4 linked regions of the Canis lupus familiaris genome follow. The protein of the gene in region 1 purifies or fractionates together with the protein of each later gene. This does not show direct contact. Links are inferred from orthologs where the notes say so. Each region holds a gene or a part of one and is shown in the gene's direction. Other genes may lie near its edges.

Region 1 (5,587 bases):
AACCCGCTTCTTCAGCCAGCTGAGCAGCATCCTTGCCACCCAGCTCACAGACACCCACCCAGGCAGCTCCACGGCCCAGGAGATAGCGCACAGCAGCCCCCTGGCCTGCTCGAGCAGCACACATCAGGGGGGTCCACCAGAAGGCATCCCGAGCATTGATATTGCCCCCCGCTCCCCCTGCCTCGTGGGGATCCAAGAGCCTTCTTAGTTCTGCTAGGTCACCCTCCTGGGCTGCCCTCAGTATCCAATGGGTCATCTTGTCCTCTGCCTCAAGGGATCTCCTTTGTCCATGTCCTGCTGAGGCTCCTACAGCAGCTTCCCCCATCATTCTTCTCTTCTTCCTCTTTCTTTTCCTGTCAGGTTCAGGCTGAGATCTCTGGGATGCAGGGATGCTGCTCTCTTCTGCAATCAGGGCCTCATAGAAAGCCCGGGCTGCAGCCCCATTCAGGGTGGGCTCCAGCTCTTCAGGCTGTGACTGCTGCTGCCCATCTTTCCAGAGGTCACTGGGGTTGGTGGCCGGGGTGAAGGTGATGAGGGAGGGCCTGGACATGGCTTTTGGGAGAACTGAGACAATGAGACTAATTAAAGGGCGTATGAGACAAGCAAGCCAATCCCTTGGTGGCTCTGCACTGACCAGAACCACCTCCACAGATCTGCTGGGATGAGGAAAAGTAGCCTTTTCCAAGTCAAAAACCCGTCTTATACTCTAAGTGACCCCACAACCTAGGACCCTACAGGGCCTAAGGACCATAGGTCATGTGGAAAAACAGGGAGCCATACAATAACAGCCCATATCCCTCGTAAAGGTTAACTTAACAAAGATTTAATGAGAATTGCCCAGAGGCCCATCCCTATCCTCACCAATAAGTAAAAACAGCTTCTCTCTCAAACTACTTGATCACCAGGTAAGACGTGCAGTTAAGAAAACAATCAGCCTAGCCCTTTAAATCTTCCTTGATCCTATGTCAGGGTAGGGTCTTTCCAAACAAAAACAGACTTTTAACCTTCTCCGGATGCAAGAAGAAGATTTGGGGGAGAAACTCCAGTCTCTGTGGAGACCCCACAGGGTCTCTGTACCACAAAAATTTTATCTAAGCAAAGGTGCTGCCAGTCCAATAGCCACACGACCCAGACACACATGTGTGACTGAAAAAAAAATCAACCACCACAAAGCAGAACTTGAGGGTGCGGGCGTGTGCGAAGCGCCAGGCTGAGCCTTCGCACGGTGGGACCCTCCAGGATGCCACGTGCCCAGGCAGCGCGAGGACAGAGGCTCTGTCGGTTGGGGTCCTACTTCTACATAACGCCCCACAATGCCCTTCGCCTCCCGGAACGTGGCCCCCCACTCCGAGCGCAGTTTTTGGACCTGCGAAACCACCGAGTTAAGGAGGGCTCTGAGAAGGCGGGAGGAAACCTGTGGAATGCCCCGAAGCCGTGAAGTGAAATAACGTCACGCCACCCCTCACCATTATTCTGAGCAGGGTTCGAAGGTCACACTTAGTGCCCGCAGCAGAAGGCCCCATTCAAGCTCTGAGAGGAGATGGAAAAGTGCAAGGGGACGAGCAGCAGAATGGCTGGCGCCACTTCAGGTTAGCGCACAGGCCGTCCCAATTCTCACACCGCTCACCTCAGCCCAGCCCACTCTTCCCACGTCCCGCAAGCAAGGAGCCCGGCCTCACCTCCCGCCTGAGGAGACTAGACCCCGGGGTGAAGCACCGGCCCGGGTGGGGCCTCCAGTGGCGGGCCTGACTCTGGCGAGAGGCTCCGCAGGCAACAAGGACCCGGTGGGGTAGTCGGGGACGAGGTCAGCACCCTGGGCTGCCGGCAAACACCTGGGGCAGAGCCTCGCTGTGTGAGGGGAGTTGCAGGAATCCAGCCCTCCAGCCCCGTTCCTTCCCCGCCCCCTCCCGGCCCCTCAGTTGCGCGACCCTACGACTCTATTTCCCATACTCCCTGGCCCAGAACGGGGTACTGCGCTTCCGCTTCCGGTGGTATCCCGCTGCTCCCCACCCCCGAGCGTCTTGTTCCTGGGCCTCGCGACGCCAGGGTCGTTCGTGGGTCATCCTGGGATTCGTAGTTCGCCTGTTCTTCGCTTCGCCAGTTTCTCTTTACCTGGGACTCCATTTCCCGGCGTTCACTGCGGCGCCCGACCCTTGGCGCTTGCGCGTTGCCCTCTCCCCACCCTCCCCAATTTCCACACACACCGCCCCCCGCCCCCCCCCCCTCGCTACTTCGCCTGCCGCGGTCGGGTCCGCGGCCTGCGCTGTAGCCGTCGCGGTTCTTTGGAAGCAGCAACTCCCCTCCCCCACCCCGGTCCCGGTCCCGGTCCCCGCCCAGCCGGTGAGTCTGAGGTCGTTGCCGCATCGAGTCTTCCGTCCTTAGGCGCGGCACATGGGGTCTCCGCGCGTTGGTGTGGGGGTGGGGAAGGAAGTGACCCGGTCCGGCACCGGGGGAGGGAGGGTTGGCCTGAGAGGCGGGGTGTGGGGACTCCTGTGAGAGGGACCCAGGGCCACCTCCAGGTCGTGAGGGGAAAGGGTCCTGGCTTTTGCTTGGAAAGGATAAACTTCGGAACCCTTGGGAAAGGTGTCGGGGACATGCGGAGACCTGCGGGGTAGGGATCTCGAGCCGAGAGCCCTGCGAGGGAGGGACTTGACGTAAAGAGGAGAGGGTGCTGGTTTTCGGGATTGTTAGGGGTGTGGGTAGGACGGGTGAGCCTAGACCTGTCGGTTTTTCAGAAGTGGTGGGACTCCAAAGAGCCTCTAGTGAATAAGAGGAATTGGAGGCAGGTGCGCCAGGGTCTAGGATCCTTTAAGAAAAGGGGGCTCCAAATTCTTCCATGGTCGGGGAGCAGAGTGTGGGGAGGAGGGAAGGTACCAGAGACAGGGTGGGGGAGCTTGGCCTTTGTTTACCCTCTTTTTTTTTTTTTTCCCAGCTGACGTGAAGATGAGCAGCTCAGAGGAGGTGTCTTGGATATCCTGGTTCTGTGGGCTCCGTGGCAATGAATTCTTTTGTGAAGTGAGTTCTCAATCTCCCAGCTATGTCCGCACAAAGTTTGGCTGTATGTTTTTCCACATATTTAGCTTCTACTTCTCTTACAGGCTGTCATAGAAACTTTTTCCTGTCAAGGAAGAGTCCCTTCAGTAACTCCCCTCACTAATTTGTGAAGTGGCAAGACTTGCCCATCCCAAGCCTGTTACTGTCCAGCGGTGTAATATTGGAAAAGTCAACTTTATTACTACTACTACTACTACTGTTATTCTTATTATTATTGCTAGGCTTGTACTAGTAGTGCTTAATTTGGGAGCCTATTAGGATTAAAATGCCGTTTATCAAAATGTTTTGTAACAGGCAAAGTTTTGTGCTAATGATATAATGGATTATAACTGCCCACAGGACCCAAGCTGTTTAGTCGCTGCTTTTCTTAGAGTTCTAGCTGCCGGTAAGGAGAGGACAAAACTGGTCTGTAGAGATGGGATCAAGAATAGGAACAGGGATTTTAAAAGGAGTGTCTCGTTAAGGAAGAGATTGTTGTAGCTGCTTATCCTTAGGAAAGAAAAGCCAGAGCTTTTATGGGAAGGCAGTGTATGTGAACTGGGGAGAGAGACTCAAGGATTTCTGCTGAGTTGGTGTGGGGAATTAGGGAAAACAGAAGCAGTTGTGTTGGAAACAAGGCACCAATTAGAGCAATGTGCCCAGATCAAAGCTGAGGATTCTGCTATGGGTTTCTTCTTGACTTCCACATCCTGACAGGTGGATGAAGACTACATCCAGGATAAATTCAATCTCACTGGACTCAATGAGCAGGTGCCTCACTATCGACAAGCTCTAGACATGATCTTGGACCTGGAGCCTGGTGAGGCATCCTCGGGGTTATCTTTGTGTGTGTGTGTGTGTGTGTGTGGTTTTTCTTTTTTCTCCCAAATTCCTGTTGATCTGCTTCTTGAATTTCTAAATTTCCTTTTGGTTCTCTGATTGCTTTTGTCCTAAGTTCTGTACTTTATTTTGCTCTCTCATCTGACTTTTGCCTGGATTTGTGACAGCCTCATTCTACACTCTGATCCTGTAACTTGGCTCTCTCCCTTAATGTTAGTTTCCTCATGGATCTCATTTCCTGCTTACCTGTCTTGCCTTGCACCTTTCAGTCTAGAGTTCCAGCTTCTATGTTGATCTTTTTCATTTATGTGTTGAGAGAGTTGGGAGGGAGAGAAGAGAGTAAAGGCTGAAGAGGTATAGAGAGAAGGCAGAGCTGCCTTGGGTGGGTGGGTGGAAGGGCCAGAGGCCCAGGTTTCTGGGTCAAATGCCCAGGTGATGGGTGGCGCAAAGATGAGTAGCCAGCAGCCCCTGGAGGTGGATGGGGCACCTAAGAAAGCTGTAAGACAAGTGATTGCAATTGGCTGCGGCCATGTTTCAGATGAAGAGCTGGAAGACAACCCCAACCAGAGCGACCTGATTGAGCAGGCAGCCGAGATGCTTTATGGATTGATCCACGCCCGCTATATCCTCACCAACCGTGGCATCGCCCAGATGGTGAGGCCTCTCTGCTCCCACTTGACTCCTCTGAGGTAGTAAGGGAAACAGGTTCTTGCAGCAAGGAGTCACGTTTTCAAACTTGTCACAGATTATAGCTAAGAAGAGGGGAAGAGGGCGCCTGGGTGGCTCAGAGGCTGAGCGTCTGCCTTCGGCTCAGGTTGTGATCCTGGGGTCCTGGGATTGAGTCCCGCATTGGGCTCCCCGCAGGGAACCTGCCTCTTCTCTTGCCTGTGTCTGTCTCTCTTTCTGTCTCTCGTGAATAAATAAAATCTTTAAGAAAAAAAAAAGGAGGGGGAAGAACCCCAGAACCTGGGCCTGGGGATTAAATCCTAATTGGGGTTGTGCTGACTGAGGTATTTTCAGGGAGGGAGACGTGACCTTGGACAGGAATTTTTTGCAGTCTGCCTCTTCCTCAGGGAACAAACAGCAAATGGCTCTGATGGTCTGTAACTTGCCTACCTGGAGAAAAGGAAGCAGGGGAGTAGGAGGGCCCATCTGGCCAGCTTAAAATGGGCATCTGGACGGAAGGAGGCAGGAGTGGAGGACAGAGCAATGTGGGTTGGACTGAGGAGGGGATTGCCTCTTCTTTTCATACCTACCCACCGGCCCCTTTCATTTTATTCACCTCAGTTGGAAAAGTACCAGCAGGGAGACTTTGGCTACTGTCCCCGTGTGTACTGTGAGAACCAGCCAATGCTTCCCATCGGTGAGTGTTGGAGAAGGGAAAGGAGGCCTCATGAAATGGCCAGTCCTCTGGGAAGGAAATGGGGCTCAGCAAGTCTGAGCCTGAGTCTGGGAGGGTGGTGGGGCAGGCTCGGGGGTGCCTGGCCTGCTGAGTCTAGCTGTCTCCCAGGCCTTTCGGACATCCCAGGTGAGGCCATGGTGAAGCTCTACTGCCCCAAGTGCATGGACGTGTACACACCCAAGTCATCGAGGCACCATCACACGGATGGCGCCTACTTCGGCACCGGTTTCCCTCACATGCTCTTCATGGTGCACCCCGAGTACCGGCCCAAGCGGCCCGCGAACCAGTTTGTGCCCAGGTGGGGAGCAGGGA
Region 2 (6,116 bases), on another chromosome or scaffold:
GTGATTCTGGGTAGCTTGGCTATCAACATTTTGACAGTTGTTACTCCCTCCAGTCTATTGAATATTAGTATTTTAGTTTGTATTAATTGTTAGCATTTAGGAGAAGCTATCAGCGTGTAATTCTTAAAATTTGAATGAATTTAGATAATTTTAAAATTCTTTAAGCACTTTTCTCACTTGATGATTTTTTTTTTAAGATTTTATTTATTTATTCATGAGAGGCAGAGACATAGGCAGAGAGAGAAGCAGGCTCCATGCAGGGAGCCTGATGTGGGACTCCATCCAGGGTCTTCAGGATCATGCCGTGGGCCAAAGGCAGGCACTACACCACTGAGCCATCCAGGGATCCCCTCACTTGATGATTTTCAGTGTTGTTTTTGTTTCCGTTTAGAATGATTACAGTAATGTACTTAAAATACGAACTTCATTGTAAATTGTGTTTTTGTTTCTTTTAATATGTGAAATAGTTAAAATTTTCTCCCCCCCCCCTTTTTTTTTTTGTTGCATTATTGACTATTTTTATGCAGTCCGAATGTCTGGAATTTTGAAAGGTTCACTCTTACTTTCATTGCAGGATTCTTTCTACTAATCCAGATACTTGTTGAAGTGCTGAATAGGTTCTTGGGGAACGATGTCAAGGAAGACTTTCAGTTCATAGACTGGTGAGCAGAGATTGTGGAGTACAGAATAGTCAGCACCCCTCTGCGTAGTTGTAGCATAAGGTCCTTCATAGTATATCTCATCTTGTATCCTAATTATTTTTTTTTCTTTTTTGCCCCAATGGTTTACATACATAACTGTTTTTGGAATATTGATGAAAACTTGTTAAAACTCTACAGGTTCTCAGTAACACTTGATTTGGTTACTTTTAAAGACTAGGATGTGGGATTTGATAGAAAATTGACCTTGTTTTAATTGTTTTTCAGGCATAAGATGCACGTTTTCCTGCTGGGAATGAGATGTTCGTGAGTTCTTACAACTAGATGAAGAGACCCATGTGTGGTGCTATTGAGAAGTTTATTGGGAAGTTCAAAGACATTTCAAATAACAGGTTGTTTTGGTTTCTAAAGTAAAAGTGAGGAGGCACTCTGTTTTGTGAAGGAGAAAAGACTCAGGCCAGAAAACTTGTATGCTATGGTTAACTGGTTCCCAGCCTCCGAGAATGTTGTTTTCCATGGTGTAAAACTTACTCAGCATCAGGATAAGGGATAACGACTCTATGGATATACAGAATCCTTCACCATGGTAAAACTCGCTAACCCGCTATATACTGAGTGGATTTTGGAGGCCATCAAAAAAGTGAAGAAGCAAAAACAGCGTCCTTCAGAAGAAAGGATATGCAATGCAGTGTCTTCATCCCATGGCTTGGATCGTAAAACTGTTTTAGAACAATTGGAGTTGAGTGTTAAAGACGGAACAATTTTAAAAGTCTCCAATAAAGGACTCAATTCCTATAAAGATCCTGATAATCCTGGGCGAATAGCACTTCCTAAACCCCGAAACCATGGAAAATTGGATAATAAACAAAATGTAGATTGGAATAAACTGATCAAGCGGGCGGTTGAGGGCTTGGCGGAGTCCAGTGGCTCAACTTTGAAAAGCATTGAACGTTTTTTGAAAGGTCAGAAGGATGTGTCTGCATTATTTGGAGGCAGTGCTGCCTCTGGCTTTCACCAGCAGTTACGATTGGCTATTAAACGAGCCGTTGGCCATGGCAGACTCCTTAAAGATGGACCTCTTTATCGGCTCAACACTAAAGCAACCAGTGTGGATGGGAAAGAGAGTTGTGAGTCTCTTTCCTCTTTACCTCCAGTGTCACTCCTTCCACATGAAAAGGATAAGGTAAGAGTGACATACCCATCAGTGTTCATAGAACTGATGATATAGTATGCTTCAAAGTCACATTTCTAGGAGATTATTTAGAACTTATATTCAGGTTTTGTGTTTGGGGACTTTTGGAATGATCACCTCTGTTTTTTTATTGTTGAGTTGTTAGAATTCGGTAGCTACCAGTTGTCCTTATATTTTGGAATATTTGATGCCTGAGTTTCTTTCTTTCTTTTCTTTCTTTTTTCTTTCTTTCTTTTTTTTTTTATGCCTGAGTTTCAAAGTGTATTGAAATAGGTATTGATATACCTAAAAGAACCTATTCAGAATTTAAAAGTAGCATTCTACTTTAAGGCTGTTGTAAGTTCTTATAATATTTTACTGCTGGAAGTTGATGAACACTGCTAAAAATTGGAAGCTTGGATTTGAAATTAGCAAGTGACTCTAAGAACCTCTGTTTTTAAACCCCTTTTTCTTTTGTTGCACATCATCATTAGGTAGGAGTGAGACTGGTTCTCTTGACCCATAGTAGTAGCTAAGCAAATTTATCAGTACTTATTTCTGTTGTATTCTAACATTCATGTGTTCTTTGCATAGGATGAAGTCCTAAGTGTTATTGTTTATGACAGGTGTAACTACATAGGAATAAAGTATCCTATATTCCTAAAGTTCTGTGCAGTTTGGAGTTTTGATACACAGTGGTGTATCTTACTGTGCTGTTTTATGCCATTATTTTGTGCAGTTGAAAATACACTAAGAAACAGCTAATTTTGGCCCTTGACTAGATATTGGAGGATGGGGAGAATTTTGTTTGTAGTTTTTTACATTGACCTACTGTCTTGAGCTGTAAAATTATTTCGGGTGTTCTGAATTGTAGTTCTGGGGAGAGTTGTAGTACTGATGCACACTTTAGTATACAGTAGTAAAACAATCTTTATTTTGCCTAAGATATAGGTAGAAGCTACTCCCAGGATGAGAAGATTGTGAAGTTAATATTGAATGTATTTAAAAATGTTTGAGAGTCAAGTCTAAATTTATTGCAGTTAATAACCCACCTATAGATTTTTGTCTAAAGAGCAGTTGAAAATTAACAGTATTTTTCTTTGAGGAGGTTTTTAGAGATCTGTTTTAGGGTTCAGTTTTCCCAGTGAGCTTTGAAATAGAAACATCATCTTACTGTTACTACCTTTGAAAGGATTCTGATAGAATGATTATCATTTGAGTATTTATTAAAAAGTGTGGTATTAAAAATTCAAGGTAGACAAGTAACTAAAATGCTTTATTCTGTAGTTCAGTGCTGTAGAACTTACTGTAATAACTGTTTCTTGATCCCATATAGCTGAAGTTAAAAGAAGTATAATGATTGATTCCTGAAATTGTTACAAAATGATCCACAGGTTAACTACATGGAAACAGGAAATAATTTATAGTTTACAATGAATTCAGTGTTATATCTGTGAATTGAGTATTATAAATTCTTGTTAGAACACCAGAGTGCAAAAAAACAAACAAAAACCAGAGTGCTTGCTTTTATTATAGTTTCCCTTGCTTGAATTAGATATTTCAATTTTTAAAAATATTAGCCATACATAAAATGTCAATTGTCCATATTTTTTCCTTTCTTTTTAAAATTTTTATCTAAATTCAGTTGATTAATATATTATCGATTTCAGAGGTAGAGGTCAGTGATTCATTTAAGATTTTATTTATTTATTTCATGAGACACACAGAGAGAAAGAGAGGCAGAGACACAGGCAGAGGGAGAAGCAGGCTCCATGCAGAGGGAGCCTGATGTTGGGACTCCAGGATCCCGGGTCTTCAGGATCAGGCGCTGGGCTGAAGGTGGCACTAAATTGCTGAGCCACCTGGGCTGCCCCATCCGTGTTGTATAATACCCAGTGCTCATTACACCACATGCCCTCCCTAATGTCCATCACCTAGTTAACCTCATCCTCTCCGGTCCCCTCCAGTGACCCTCAGTTTATTTCCTATGATTAAGAGTCTCTTATCTCCCTCTCTGATTTTCATCTTGTTTTATTTTTTCCTCTCTTCCCCTGTGATTTTCTTAAATTCCACATATGAGTGAGATCATATGATAATTGTCTTTCTCTGATTGACTTACTTTATTTCACTTAGCATAATATCCTCTAGTTCCATCCATGTCGTTGCAAATGGCAAGATTTCATTTTTTGATGGGTGAGTAGTATATACACATATATATATACACACACACGTATATATACACATACCACATCTTTATCCATTCATCTGTCGATGGATATTTGGGCTCTTTTCATAGTTTGGCTATTGTGGAATTTGTGCATATTTCTGAAAGGTAGCTGATATAGTACACTATGGGACAAATCTGAGTCCTATCTCCTTAGGACTTTACTTTTGAAAGGGATGTTAAGAACCATCTAATTTAACAATTCTTACTTTGCAGCTGAGCTGAGACCTCGACATTAAAAAAGAAGCTTAATCCAGTAGAGATTTGCTGATTTACTTTGGTTAGAAATATCTTTTTGGCTACATAATTGTAATAAATAGTGTTGTTAACCAAAGTAATAAAATTTGGAGTATACATTTAGGAGAATTGAGTTTCATTGAATAGACTTGTATGTATATATACTGGTCTGAATTGAATTGAAAACTAATTTTATGATATCTATGATATTAGAGTTGATGAAATCTGTTATATATTTTTAAAGTCTTATTTTCAGTAGTGAATTTCCTGGGTGACTTCTCCCAAAGATAGGAAGAGCTCACACTCAAGATCATAATACAGTGAGAAATTAATTATTCCTTCTCTGAACAGATTATATGTTTGCTCTTTATATTGCATTTTATCTTTCTTTCCTCTTTTTAAAATTGGTTTGTTGTAATGAACCTAGATATTCTCATCTAGAGTGTATTTGAGAGTGATGGAGAAAGGAAAAGTGCAGGCCAGAAGTAGTTTCACTTTTACGCCTTGATTAATTCAGCAAATGGTTATTGAGCATCTACTGTAGGCCAGGCACTCTGCTTAGAACTGAAATGGCTTGGAACTGAAATGGCATTATTTCAAGTTCCTCTTTATTTTTTTCTAGATCAACTTTAGCTTTTATTTCTTTGGGATAGCAATCTTTGGAAGGAACTGTAGAACTAAGATTTTCAGCATCTTATGATGCTGAATGGTTTTTGCTACTTTTGTTGGGATCAGCTGCATAGAAATACTGTATTTTTAAGAGTTTTTGTGAATATGTTTGAACTTAAGTGTTTTTACATTGATAAATAGCGAGGAAAATCCATGGGATACTATGATTTAAAAGTTTTATCCAGGGGGTATCCCTGGTGGCTCAGCGGTTTGACACCTGCCTTTGGCCCAGGGCGCAGTCCTGGAGTCCCGAGATCGAGTTCCGCGTCGGGCTTCTGGCATGGAGCCTGCTTCTCCCTCTGCCTGTGCCTCTGCCTCTCTCTCTTTCACTCTCTGTGTCTATCATGAATAAATAAAATCTTTTAAAAAAAAATAAAAGTTTTATCCATGTTGTAAGGGAAATTTCTGAGTAGCTTTAGGGTTGTGGTAGTTTATGGTGAATTTGTTTAACTTCTGTTTACTGTGGGCCAGGCATTACTTTAAAGCTAATCATATTAATTTATTTAATTCTCAAACATCTCAGTGAAGTAGGTACTGTTATCATACAGGTGAAGAAACTGAGGCATAAAAGAGATTTAGTAATTTCTCCAAGTCACAGAGATATTTAGTGGCAAAGCTAGGATTTGAACTTGGGCACTCTGGCTCTGGTCTTTGTAACAGCTATACCTATTGCCTCTTGGGAGTTGTTACATAAAATGTCACTGCAGTCAAGTACCCAATTGTTAATGTTCTTGGTGTCAACTTCATAGTACATTGTCTAATTATGAAAGGACACATTTCCCCCTACCGCCACCCCTTCACATTTTGTATCCCTTTTTTTCTCTATCATTAGACTGGATTTTAAAACTGGCTTTGAACCAGTGATAAGAATGTATCAGAAACCAGAGATTATGAAGAATCTAGTTTTGTATCCCTGAGGTCCATAAAAAAAGTTTTTTGTCTGCATGATATTTTTTTCTTGATAATTTCTGTGCTTATTAATTTTCATTTTATCTTACTGAAGTTTTCTGATTTGCAGTCTGGGACTTGTTACCTGGCTGTTGATAGAGTGCCTTCATATGGGAATTCAAAATGTTGCTTTCCCATGCATGATGGCATATAAAGGAGGGTGATAGTGTGAAACTGGCTTAAGTAACAACTTATCCCTTTGCAAATT
Region 3 (5,643 bases), on another chromosome or scaffold:
CTTGAACTGGTGTTGCCAAGGGAAAATGAAAAGGGTGAGGAGTGTGAATTAGGAGCTCAGAGCAGGAATAACACGGGTGAGGGGGCTTGGCTTTTCCCCTTTGTGGCAGCCAGGCTTGGCTAAGTTACCCTGGAGCTTTGGCCCTGAGAGAGCAAGATGGGGAGGGAGAGAGGAGGGGCTGGCCCCGGGAGGGCCATGGCAGGGCAGAGGCACTCTGGGGAAGGTAGGTGTGCTAGCAGCAGGTGTTTGTGACAGGAGAGGCCTAGGCTGGGGCCCTTGTGACCAGGTTGCTGGCACGGTTTTCCCCTCTTCTCTTTATCTCTTTCTATTCCTGTGTCTTATTCTTTCCATCTTGGTCTCTTCTCTTGGGTGATTTCCGAGTCCACTTCTCCTTGTTAACCAAGCTAGATCCCCAGGTGCCAGTGATGACCCCAGGTCCCCAGACTTGACCCCTGACTCTTGTCCCTGACCTCAGTCGTAGATTCCCAGTGCTTACTCCTTCCCAGCTTGTTTGTCCCAGCTGTAATAATAAATCCTGCTCCGGGTTTTGACTCGCAGGGTTATGATTTGTATCAGGCTCCGAATAACCCTGTGGTGTATGGATTACTTGCCTCACCTTTCAAAACTAAGGCAGTGGACATGAGGCCATTGATAAAGCTGCAACTAGAATCATTTCTTCCATCTTGGCTTAAGTCATTGTCCCTTTGAACACATGGCTTTCAGATCTCTCCAGACCCCCAGAAGATCCATGAAGATTTATGAATGGATCCCATGCTGCCATGAATGAGCCCTTACACCCAGAGCATGGTGTATATCTTCCTCCTTAATAATGGTATTGATTAATTGATTGGTTCTGTGCTGGGCTCAGGAGGGGCTGAGGTGATTTCAATCAAGATGTTCACTGAACTTCCTCCGTCTCTGTTACCCTTGTTTCTCTACTGTGTCTCTGAGAAGTTTCTTTTCTTCTGCTTTCTCTGAATCTCGGTGTCTTCCCTGGAATGTGCACATAACCTACCTTTCAATTTTAGGGTTTGGCAAACCAGGTGCCCCCACCAGCTCTAGGATTTGTGATGTGGTAAAAGTGTACCCAAGGAGATTGCGCATGGTCCCAAGAGGATAAATATGGAGATCCTGAGGGAGGAGGGCCAGGGTTCCTGCCCTCAGAGGGCTCAATTTCTTACTCTTTTTTCTGTTTTCATCAGGTCTGGGACCTGCTGCCATGGGGGATATGAAGACTCCTGATTTCGATGATCTCCTTGCTGCCTTTGACATCCCTGACATCGATGCCAATGAAGCCATCCACTCTGGGCCAGAAGAAAACGAAGGGCCTGGAGGCTCAGGAAAGCCGGATCCTAGTATAGGAGGTGACTCTGGAGAAGCACCGGCAGCAGCTGCCAGGGACAGCCCTGAGGTGCCAGCCCAGGCCTCTGATCACGGCCTGCCACCGCCAGACATCTCGGCAGTCAGTGTCATCGTCAAGAACACTGTGTGTCCTGAGCAGCCTGAGTCCCCAGCTGGGATTTCAGGAGGAGATGGGCCCCGGGCTGGGGGGGTGACTAAGGAAGGGCCTGTGGGGCCTCGTCTGATGCAAAATGGTTTTGGGGGCCCTGAGTCATCCCTTCCAAGTACACCCCACTCTCCAGCTCCTCTCAGTGGGGGTACCTGGAAAGAAAAAGCTATGGAAGGCAAAGCTACTTTGGACCTCTTTGCTCATTTTGGGCCTGAGCCAGGGGAGCACCCTGATCCCCTCCCTCCCCCAGCACCTTCCCCACCTCGGGAAGGGGCCATGACCCCACCTCCTTTCCCCTCTCCCTTTGAGCTGTCCAGGGAGAATGGCCCAGCCTTGCTGCCACCTGGTTCTCCCCCAGTACGGGGGACCTTGAAGCAAGACAGCTGCAGCCCCCTTCATCCTCAGGGCCTGGCCGGGCTAGGCTCTAGCTTGAGCCCTGAGGCCACGGGTATTCCTGCCAGCGCCTCCCCTCCCCAGGTTGCTGGGTTGCCCTTCTTCAAGCAGTCTCCAGGGCATCAGAGCCCTCCTGCCTCCCCCAAAGTGCCCTGTTGTCAGCCCCTGAAGGAAGAAGAGGAGGAGGGGCCGGTGGACAAGCCTTCCCCAAAAAGTCCCCAGAGCCCCTCTAGTGGAGCTGAGGCTGCAGATGAGGACAGCAATGACTCCCCTGCTTCTTCCAGCTCCTCAAGGCCTCTCAAGGTGCGGATCAAGACCATTAAAACATCCTGCGGAAATATCACAAGGACTGTAACCCGGGTCCCCTCAGACCCTGATCCTCCTGCCCCCTTGGCTGAGGGGACCCTCCTGGCTGAGGCTGGCCTCCTAAAGCTATCCCCTGCAACCCCGACCCCCGAGGGTCCAAAGGTGGTGAGCGTCCAGCTGGGTGACGGCACGAGGCTGAAGGGCACCGTGCTGCCTGTGGCCACCATCCAGAATGCAAGCACTGCTATGCTGATGGCAGCCAGTGTGGCCCGCAAAGCTGTGGTTCTGCCAGGGGGCACTGCCACCAGCCCTAAGACTATGGCTAAGAATGTGCTAGGTCTGGTGCCCCAGGCCCTGCCCAAGGCGGAGGGGCGGCCAGGGCTGGGGACTGGGGGGCAGAAGGTGAACGGTGCCTCAGTGGTGATGGTGCAGCCTTCCAAGCCGGCCACCGGGCCAGGTGCAGGGGGTGGCACGGTGATCTCGCGGACCCAGTCCAGCCTGGTGGAGGCCTTCAACAAGATCCTCAATAGCAAGAACCTGCTGCCTGCCTACCGGCCCAACCTGAGTCCCCCCGCCGAGGCCGGGCTGGCCCTGCCTCCCACGGGCTACCGCTGCCTCGAGTGCGGGGACGCCTTCTCACTGGAGAAGAGCCTGGCGCGGCACTATGACCGCCGGAGCATGCGCATTGAGGTCACCTGCAACCACTGCGCCCGCCGCCTGGTCTTTTTCAACAAATGCAGTCTGCTGCTGCATGCCCGAGAGCACAAGGACAAAGGGCTCGTCATGCAGTGCTCACACCTGGTCATGAGGCCCGTCGCCCTGGACCAGATGGTGGGGCAGCCAGACATCACGCCCCTGCTGGCTGTCCCACCTGCCTTCGGACCTCCAGCCTTGCCTGCCCTGGGCAAGGGTGACGCGGCTGTCGCTGGCGCTATTACTGCTGTCGCCGCCGAAGCCCCTGTGCTACCACTGTCATCTGAGCCGCCTGCTGCCCCTGCCACCTCGTCTTACACATGCTTTCGCTGCCTAGAGTGCAAGGAGCAGTGCCGGGACAAGGCAGGCATGGCCGCCCACTTCCAGCAGCTTGGGCCCCCGGCCCCTGGGGCCAACAGCACTGTGAGTTGCCTGTCCCAGCTCTCCCCGGGGCTGGAGCCCAACGCTCTGGGAGTCAGATCTGGGAAGATGTTGGGGGCTCGGTCAGGGGAGGTCATGGGGTCGGGCCTCTCCTTGCTGACTTACCTTGTCTCCACTCCTGTTGACAGGTATGCCCAACCTGCCCCATGATGCTTCCCAATCGCTGCAGCTTCAGTGCCCACCAGCGCATGCATAAGAACCGGCCTCCCCACGTCTGCCCTGAGTGTGGGGGCAACTTCCTACAGGCCAATTTCCAGACCCATCTCCGGGAGGCCTGTCTACATTTGTCTCGCCGTGTAGGATACAGGTGCCTCCTGCCTCTCCTCCCTGGAGCCTTGTGACTGTTTCCCCACTGCCACCTCCTCCCCCCACCCCCTGGCACTTTATGGCCTCGTGTGTCCCAGCACCAGGCTTTGAGCTGGCCTGTCAGGGAGAGCCCCATCTCCTGCTGAACCCCTCAGCCTCAGATTGGTCTGCTCTTGCCCTGCTCCCGTGGAGAGGGGAGAGAGCTCCGGTTCGGCCTCCATAGGCCTCCGGCTAGGAGCAGGGCCCGGGGGACAGGCTGGAGACACCCTGCCTCACCTCAGCGCCCCCTGCCCCCCAGGTGCCCCAGCTGTGCGGTGGTGTTCGGGGGCGTGAACTCCATCAAGTCCCACATCCAGACGTCGCACTGCGAGGTTTTCCACAAGTGCCCCATCTGCCCCATGGCCTTCAAGTCTGCGCCCAGCGCCCATGCCCACCTCTACACCCAGCACCCCAGCTTCCACACGCAGCAGGCCAAGTGAGACCTGGGAGGGAGCAGGGTGGGCTGGAACGGGGTCGGGGTCCTGATGGGCAGGGTGTCTGCACTGTCCTCTCCGCCCACACAGGATGATCTACAAGTGCGCCATGTGTGACACGGTCTTCACTCACAAACCCCTCCTCTCCTCACACTTCGACCAACACCTGCTGCCCCAACGTGTCAGCGTCTTTAAGTGCCCATCTTGTCCTCTGCTTTTTGCCCAAAAAAGGACCATGCTGGAACACCTCAAGGTATAGGAGACAAGGGACAGAGGCGGGGTGCTCGACTGTGGGGGGTTTGGGGAATAGAACCCTCAGGAAGTGCTGGTGGGGAAGCCGCAAGGCCTCTGGCAGAGCCAGGCCCTCCCCCACAATGGCTGCCCCCTTGTCTCCCTCTCACAGAACACCCATCAGGCTGGGCGCCCGGGGGAGGACAGTGCTGGGAAAGGGGCGGCGGGTGCCCTTACAAGCCCCAAGGCTGAGCCCGAGGAGTTGGCTGTGTCTCGGGGAGGAGCAGCTGCCCCTACTGAGGAATCCTCTTCATCCTCGGAAGAGGAAGAACTTCCCAGCTCTCCTGAGCCTCCTCGCCCAACCAAACGGCCCCGGCGGGAACTAGGGAACAAAGGCATCAAGGGGGGCGGTGGGGGCCCTGGAGGCTGGACCTGTGGCCTTTGTCACTCCTGGTTTCCTGAACGGGACGAGTATGTGGCTCACATGAAGAAGGAGCATGGCAAGGTGAGCAGGGCTCCCTCGGGATCGGTCTGTGGCCATGGGGAGTGGGGTCTTGGAGCCGCGCTCTGAGGCTCCCTACGCTCTGCTCTCCCAGTCAGTGAAAAAGTTTCCCTGTCGCCTGTGCGAGCGCTCCTTCTGTTCCGCCCCCAGCCTGAGGCGCCACGTCAGGGTCAATCATGAGGGTATCAAGCGAGTTTACCCATGCAGGTAACCCTTGCTCCCTCATGCCCACATCCCCTTCCTCTTTCTGACCAGCAAGTGACCTGCCCACCCCATACCCCCAGCCCCACTAAGTACTTTCTGACCTGTGTCTCGTTTGAGTAGACTAGAGGTCGAGGCCTCCCTCTGCTCTGGCCACGGACCCCTGGCACCCACCCTCCCCACTTTCCCCCTCTAGGTACTGCACAGAGGGAAAACGCACCTTCAGCAGCCGCCTGATCCTGGAGAAACACGTCCAGGTCCGGCATGGCCTGCCACTTGGGGCCCAGTCCCCTGGCCGGGGTAGTACCCTGGCTCGGGGCCCTGGTGCCAGAGCCCAGGTAGGCTGAGGCCCAGTCTGCTGTGTTGAGAAACCATAGGGTTCTAGTCCCTGGCCTCAGGAATCTAGGAGGGGGTGCTAGGGTCAGTTTGGGGTGATGAGGAGGCTTAGTTTCCTCCCTCTCTTCTCCAGGGGCCAGGACGGAAACGCCGCCAGTCCTCTGACTCTTGTAGTGAGGAGCCTGACAGCACGACCCCTCCAGCCAAGTCCCCCAGGGGTGGGCCTGGAGCTGGAGGCCATGGCCCCCCAC
Region 4 (6,116 bases), on another chromosome or scaffold:
ACTCCTGTACTGGAGACCCCACCTGTAGGGGGCTCCCCTTATCCTGAGTGGGGTCTTGGTGCCTGGCCACCATAGCAGGTAGGGGCGTTGGGGAGGAAGGCTCAGTGCTCCTTTTGCTCTTGCCAGCTGGGTATCATCTATCGAGATCTGAAGCTGGAGAATGTGCTGCTTGACTCCGAGGGCCACATCGTACTCACAGACTTTGGGCTTAGCAAGGAGTTCCTGACGGAAGAGGTGAGCGAAGGGCAGTCTCTCTGCCTACTGCACCCCCATTCAAGCCTTCGCCTTCCTGTCCTCCTGCTCCATGCCAGGCTCTGCATTTCTTGCGGGGCAGAGGTAAACAGGTCTAGGTCCTGCCTTCAGGAGATTCCCTGTGTTCCAACCCTCACGAGTCCAGCGAGTCCTACTCCGAGCCTTGGGGACTGCTGGGTGTCCAAATGGATCCTCTTGCCCTCCCAGAAAGAACGAACCTTCTCCTTCTGTGGCACTATCGAGTACATGGCCCCCGAAATTATCCGCAGCAAGTCGGGTCATGGCAAGGTGGGTTAGCAGGGGAGTGGGTGGGGATTGAGGGTGGGGTGAGGCGGGTGTGGCCACGGGCCCTCACTCCCTGGCTCTACCCCATCAGGCTGTGGACTGGTGGAGTCTGGGCATCCTCCTCTTCGAGCTGCTGACGGGGGCCTCGCCCTTCACCCTGGAGGGCGAGAGGAACACGCAGGCAGAGGTCTCCCGGTGAGCGGGGCTGGACAAGGATGGGGGCAGGGAGAGTGAGGGGCCTGGGCAGGGTTGGGGAGGGGGCTCGCTGCCCCTGACGCCCCCCCAATCCTCCCAGACGGATCCTGAAGTGCTCCCCTCCCTTCCCCCCCCGGATCGGGCCCGTGGCACAGGACCTGCTGCAGCGGCTACTTTGCAAGGACCCCAAGAAGCGACTGGGTGCAGGGCCCCAGGGGGCACAGGAAGTCAAGAACCACCCCTTCTTCCAGGTAAGACTCCTGACTCTTCCCCCACGTGTCTCTGCACACCCCCAGAGTGGGCTATTGCCCTGGGTTGAGGGACACTGGAGGGATGGTCTGAGACCCACTGATTTCAACTGCTTTAGGAAAACCACCAGATAGCCAGTTTTTCTCCATCTCTCATGAAACTTGGTAGATGTGATCCTGGGGGAAAGAATTTTCCCAGGTTCATTGGCTGGCAGGGGCTTGAGGATGGCTTCCTCAGTCCCCTCACTGGGCAGGTTCAGAGAAGGGGCGTGACCTCTCCAGACTGTACAGGAAATAGTGTAGAGCTGGAGACACATTGCAGGTCAGTCCCCTCTTGGCTCACACCAGTACTAAAAGTCACACTTGCCACTCTCAGCACCCACCCAGGCATTTTGTTCTTTGTCCTCAGTACAGTCTTTGTGCCTGTGATTCAGATGGACAGTTGGTCAGTCACTGGGGTTTTCTTCACCTGTGAAGAGCACGCACAGGTTAGAGTGCAGTGCAGCGTGAATTCTGCTTCTTAGTGAGACCTCACTGGCTTGGGTGCTGTGCATGGCCAGCATTGTTGCCAGCAGGATCCTGTAATGGTGAACACCTGCTGTGTGTTGGCTCTTTGCTTGCATCATTTCATGTAACCTTTAGAACCATTTTGATGATTGCTGTCTTTCCACATGAGGAAACTGAAGTTCAGGGAGGTTAAGGAATTTGCCCAAGGTCACCCAGCCAGGAAGTGATGGAGCTCAGATCCACACCCAGGTCTGGCTGATTTGAAGCCCATGTCCTTAACTCGTGTGTTGCATTTACCTGTGGGCATTCGATTTGCCAGTTGTCTGGCATCGTAACAAAAGTGCTCATTTATGGGCACTTACCGTGGGCTGGGCACCTGGTTACCCTTGCTGTGAGTGCCATCTCCTTCTATCTTCTCACTGAGTGCCTGCCTGGAAGGTCCTTCGGAGATGCTTTCTGGGACAGGAATCTCAGTCTTCATAGTGAAGTTGTCCTTCTGTGGGGGAAGTGGCCGAGCAGTGTCAGTTTCTTGAAGTGAATTCCCTGAGCCACCCTGAGCACATGCCAGGCCCGGGGTACTGGGAATGGCTTGACCAACAGTAATACCGGAAGAGGCCCTAAGGTCTTCAGGGCCTGATACTCACAAGAAGTGTTCCCTGCAGTCCCCCTTCTCTCAAGACAGCCTCTTTGGTGATAGTAGTGCAGAGGTCCTGGTGCCAGATCCTGGGCCTTCAAGCCCAGATCAGGCCTCTTGGCTGCAAGTGACAAGAAGTCCAACTCAGAATGGTGATATCCCTGGAATAAGTTTGGCTGCTAAGAATAGAGGTCGGAGTGAACAGTGGCTTAAAGATAGAGCTTTATGTATGTATGTATGTATGTATTTTCTGACATAGTAGGCTTGGCAGGCCAGGGCTGCTGTGGTGTTTTCATGAATACAAGCCCCTTTCTTCTTCTTCTTTTTTTTAAAGATTTTTTAATTTATTCATGAGGGACACACAGAGAGAGACAGAGACATAGGCAGAGCGAGAAGCAGGCTCCATGCAGGGATCCCAGTGCAGGACTTGATCCCAAGATCTGGGATCATACCCTGAGCTGAAGGCAGATGCTCAACCACTGAGCCACCCAGGAGTCTCTGGTCCCAGGGTTGCCTTGTGATCCAAAATGGCTGCTGAAGTGCTTGCCATTTAGGCTGTCATCTGGGCAGAAATCAGGAGCAAAAAGGAGGGGAAGGGCAAACTGGGCACGTGCCAGCTGTTCACCCTCCTCTTTTTTTTTTTTAAATATTTTTATTTATTCATGAGAGAGAGAGAGAGGGAGAGAGAGGCAGAGACACAGGCAGAGGGAGAAGAAAATTGCTGTCTCTGGCAGTTCTTTCTTTCTTCCTTTCTTTTTTTTTTAAAGATTTATTTATTTATTTATTTATTTATTCATTCATTCATTCATTCATTCATTCATTCATTCATGAGAGACAGAGACAGAAAGAGAGGCAGAGACACAGGCAGAGGGAGAAGCAGGCTCCATTCAGGGAGCCCAACGTGGGATTTGATCCCAGGTCTCCAGGATCAAGCCCTGGGCCGAAGGCAGGTGCTAAACCACTGAGCCACCCAGGGATACCCTCTTTCTTTTTTTTTTTTAAGATTTTATTTATTTATTCATGAGAGACACAGAGAGAGGCAGAGACCCAGGCAGAGGGAGAAACAGGTCTCCAGGATCACGCCCTGGGCTGAAGGTGGCGCTAAACCGCTGAGCTACCTGGGCTGCCCTGTTCACCCTCCTCTTGAGGTTCTTTCTCTGGATTCTCATAATTTTTGCTTGCAGGTCATCATGGGTCACACTGAAGTGCAAGGAAGTTCATAAAATAATGGTTTTTAGTTGCATACATTGCTTTCTGTAATAATATCGGGGCTATGGTACTAAGGAAGATGGGGAGTATGGAAGTTGGGGAGGCCACAAACAGGTTCTGCCACCATAGATGAAACATAAAAAAGCATGTTTTAGCTCCCGTAAGTGAAAAGTCCAAGGAAAAGTGGTCTGACCTCAGGCAAGACTGCATCCAGGTGCTGGATTTATGTTAAGAATTTCTTTCTTTGTCTCTTGGTTTTTTTGCAGGAGGTCCCTAGTGGTTCCAGGCCCATGCCCTCTCAGATTTAAGTCCAGTTGGAGGAAGAGATTTGTTTTGCATGCCAGTGCTATCAAAAGTGTGGTAGAAATAAGGATTCTCTTATCAGAGGGAGAAAAACAAGCTGGGAAGGCCGGAAAACAGCTTTCCACTCAAATGCCATATAGACCCTTGCCTCACTGAGGAGCTGCCCAGTGAATGTGGCCCCCTGTGGCAGATGGGGGTTTTCATTTCCTACATTTCACTCCCAGTCTCTTATTCCATCTCTCCAGGGTCTGGATTGGGCCGCTCTGGCTGCCAGGAAAGTTCCAGCCCCATTCCGACCACAGATCCGCTCGGAGCTGGATGTAGGCAACTTTGCAGAGGAATTTACTCGGCTGGAGCCTGTATACTCACCCCCTGGCAGCCCCCCACCTGGGGACCCCCGCATCTTCCAGGTGAGTGAGAGCTCACAGAACCACAGGTGCCATGGAGACAGGATACTGCTGCCAGCCTTGGCCCAGGCTGACTCAGCAGGACTCAGCATCTCCCCTGTCCACTGGTGGGTACCTGGAGTTGTCTGGTGTACAGACTACCATGGCAGGCTATGTCTTTGAATTTCATAGTTTATCTTTAAATTTCATGTTAATTTCTCTTCCACTCCATATATCTTTATTGTTATATAAAGATATTGTTGTAACTATTCAGTTGCTTCAGTGGACAACTAGAAAGAGATGCCATGTTTATACTGTGGCTTTGTATGTCCCTTGACAAACCATTTCACATTTGTGGAAGCACAGGCCCCCTGCACTCAGTTTTAGAAGCTTAGGCCTGTTGCACAAGGCCAGACTCCTTTCCTTGGCATTCAAGGCTCTGCACAATGTGGTCCTTGCTCAGTGCCCCAGCTTCAGCGCTCACCATTATCCCACTTGGTGCTCTAGCACCTACAAACTGCTCAGAGGTTCCCAAACGCACGTCCGTGCCTTTGCACGTGCAATTCCCTCCACCTGGAGTACCTTCCCCACAGTTGCCCACCTGGCACGCTCCCCCTCACCTTTCAAGCCTCTTTGTGCAACGCTGCTCCTCTGTGAATTCTTCCCACTGCTCTGGTTCTGGGTTGCCCTTTCCTTGTGCACCAGTCCCCTGTAGATAGCACTTCCTTCTAAGCACTGTGTCTGGTTGTATCCTAACTGCGTTACTGAGACTGGTCTGGAAACTCCCAGAAAGTAGGGACTGTGTTTAATTTCTCTGTCCCTTTACCCAGTATGGCCCATAGGATCTGGCCTGTAGGATCTGGCCCATAAATATGAAATAAGAACAGGCCAATATCAAATGTAGATGGGTCCATTCTCTCTGAGGCTCTCCCAATGATGGCTGTGCTGGAACAACCCTCTACCCATTATCTCGCAGTTCTTTTTTTTTTTTTTTTTTTTTAAAGATTTGTTTATTTGCCGGGGTGGGCGGGGGGGGGGGTAGGAGCAGAGGCAGAAGGAGAGAGTCTCAAGCAGACTCCACGCTGAGTGCAGAGACTGATGGGGTGCTTGATCCTATGACCCTGAGATTATGGCCTGAGCCAAAACCAAAAAGTCTGATGCTTTACTGACTATGCCACCCAGGTACCCCCATTGTCTTGCAGTTCTGAAAAAGTTCTTTCTTGTGAATCAGTGGTTACTGTCATTCATTCATTTACTTTTTATTTAATTATTTAATTATTTTTTAAAAAAGATTTATTTTTAGAGAGACAGAGAGTGCAGGAGCCTAGGGGTGCATGGGGAGAGGGAGAGGGAGAGAGAATCTCCAGCAGACTCCCCACTGAGTGTGGAGCCTGCTGCGGGCCTTAATCCCACCACCCCAAGATCATGACCTGAACTGAAACCAAGAGTTGGACTCCCAACTGACTGAGTCACCCAGGCACCCCTCATTCATTCATTTAATGATTCAACAATATGTACTGAGTGCCTGCGGTGTGCCATTGATCTGGCCCTGGATCCTGGGGCCGGATCAATGAACCCAAATCCAAGCGTGGAGTCTTCATTCTTATGCAGTGGGTGCTGTGTTTTTAGGAGAAAACAACTTGTTAAACTTGCCCTTAGAATCCCTTGAATCGCCCCATTGTATTTCCTCAGTGCCCCCCTCCCCCTTGCAGAGGAGACCAATGTTTGGTTTGAGATGAAGGCATAAAGACCTTTTGTATTCAGTGGGTGGATTTGAATTCTCATAAACTAAGTGTGTGTGATGCCAGGCTGTGGCCCTTTCATGCATTGAATCCATCATTTTCTGGGTCACTACGTTGTGCTAGATGATGCCCTTGGCACTCGGGGTGGGGGGCAGTTTACTGTGATGAGAACTGTGGAGGCACAGACTGGTGGGGAAGCATGAACCCAAGTGATCACAGAACAAGGTAGAATGAAATGTCCACATACTTGTGTGCACCAGGATACCAAAGCTACATCCTCCGCCACCCACTAAGTCCAGGGTCTTCCCTCTGGTCCCTGCTCCTGACTGGTCGGGGCCTTCAGGGGCTCCATATG

Evidence for each region.
Region 2: the proteins of CSNK2B (region 1) and KAT6A purify together in Homo sapiens (affinity purification with mass spectrometry; 3 studies listed by BioGRID and IntAct, with this or other methods). This does not show direct contact. The link is inferred for Canis lupus familiaris from reciprocal best matches to the Homo sapiens genes CSNK2B and KAT6A.
Region 3: the proteins of CSNK2B (region 1) and ZNF687 purify together in Homo sapiens (co-immunoprecipitation; 3 studies listed by BioGRID and IntAct, with this or other methods). This does not show direct contact. The link is inferred for Canis lupus familiaris from reciprocal best matches to the Homo sapiens genes CSNK2B and ZNF687.
Region 4: the proteins of CSNK2B (region 1) and RPS6KA4 purify together in Homo sapiens (affinity purification with mass spectrometry; 3 studies listed by BioGRID and IntAct, with this or other methods). This does not show direct contact. The link is inferred for Canis lupus familiaris from reciprocal best matches to the Homo sapiens genes CSNK2B and RPS6KA4.

Annotation. Positions count from the first base shown.
Region 1 is NC_049233.1:1,286,668-1,292,254, forward strand, and holds the start of CSNK2B (casein kinase II subunit beta), read left to right. Parts: upstream 1-1,450; 5' UTR 1,451-1,540; coding exon 1,541-1,589; exon of another isoform or gene 1,590-1,668; intron 1,669-1,679; exon of another isoform or gene 1,680-2,087; intron 2,088-2,187; exon of another isoform or gene 2,188-2,340; intron 2,341-2,463; exon of another isoform or gene 2,464-2,611; intron 2,612-2,932; coding exon 2,933-3,015; intron 3,016-3,750; coding exon 3,751-3,853; intron 3,854-4,411; coding exon 4,412-4,527; intron 4,528-5,160; coding exon 5,161-5,236; intron 5,237-5,383; coding exon 5,384-5,573; intron 5,574-5,587. Other genes in the region: GPANK1 (G patch domain and ankyrin repeat-containing protein 1), read right to left, coding at 1-550. UniProt on the Homo sapiens protein: Regulatory subunit of casein kinase II/CK2.
Region 2 is NC_049237.1:24,337,057-24,343,172, forward strand, and holds part of KAT6A (histone acetyltransferase KAT6A), read left to right. Parts: intron 1-926; 5' UTR 927-1,242; coding exon 1,243-1,842; intron 1,843-6,116. UniProt on the Homo sapiens protein: Histone acetyltransferase that acetylates lysine residues in histone H3 and histone H4 (in vitro). Component of the MOZ/MORF complex which has a histone H3 acetyltransferase activity. May act as a transcriptional coactivator for RUNX1 and RUNX2.
Region 3 is NC_049238.1:61,011,295-61,016,937, forward strand, and holds part of ZNF687 (zinc finger protein 687), read left to right. Parts: intron 1-1,202; 5' UTR 1,203-1,219; coding exon 1,220-3,325; intron 3,326-3,471; coding exon 3,472-3,650; intron 3,651-3,947; coding exon 3,948-4,124; intron 4,125-4,212; coding exon 4,213-4,375; intron 4,376-4,525; coding exon 4,526-4,858; intron 4,859-4,949; coding exon 4,950-5,062; intron 5,063-5,252; coding exon 5,253-5,394; intron 5,395-5,525; coding exon 5,526-5,643. UniProt on the Homo sapiens protein: May be involved in transcriptional regulation.
Region 4 is NC_049239.1:53,220,268-53,226,383, reverse strand, and holds part of RPS6KA4 (ribosomal protein S6 kinase alpha-4), read left to right. Parts: intron 1-126; coding exon 127-234; intron 235-363; coding exon 364-540; intron 541-628; coding exon 629-732; intron 733-832; coding exon 833-983; intron 984-3,878; coding exon 3,879-4,043; intron 4,044-6,116. UniProt on the Homo sapiens protein: Serine/threonine-protein kinase that is required for the mitogen or stress-induced phosphorylation of the transcription factors CREB1 and ATF1 and for the regulation of the transcription factor RELA, and that contributes to gene activation by histone phosphorylation and functions in the regulation of inflammatory genes.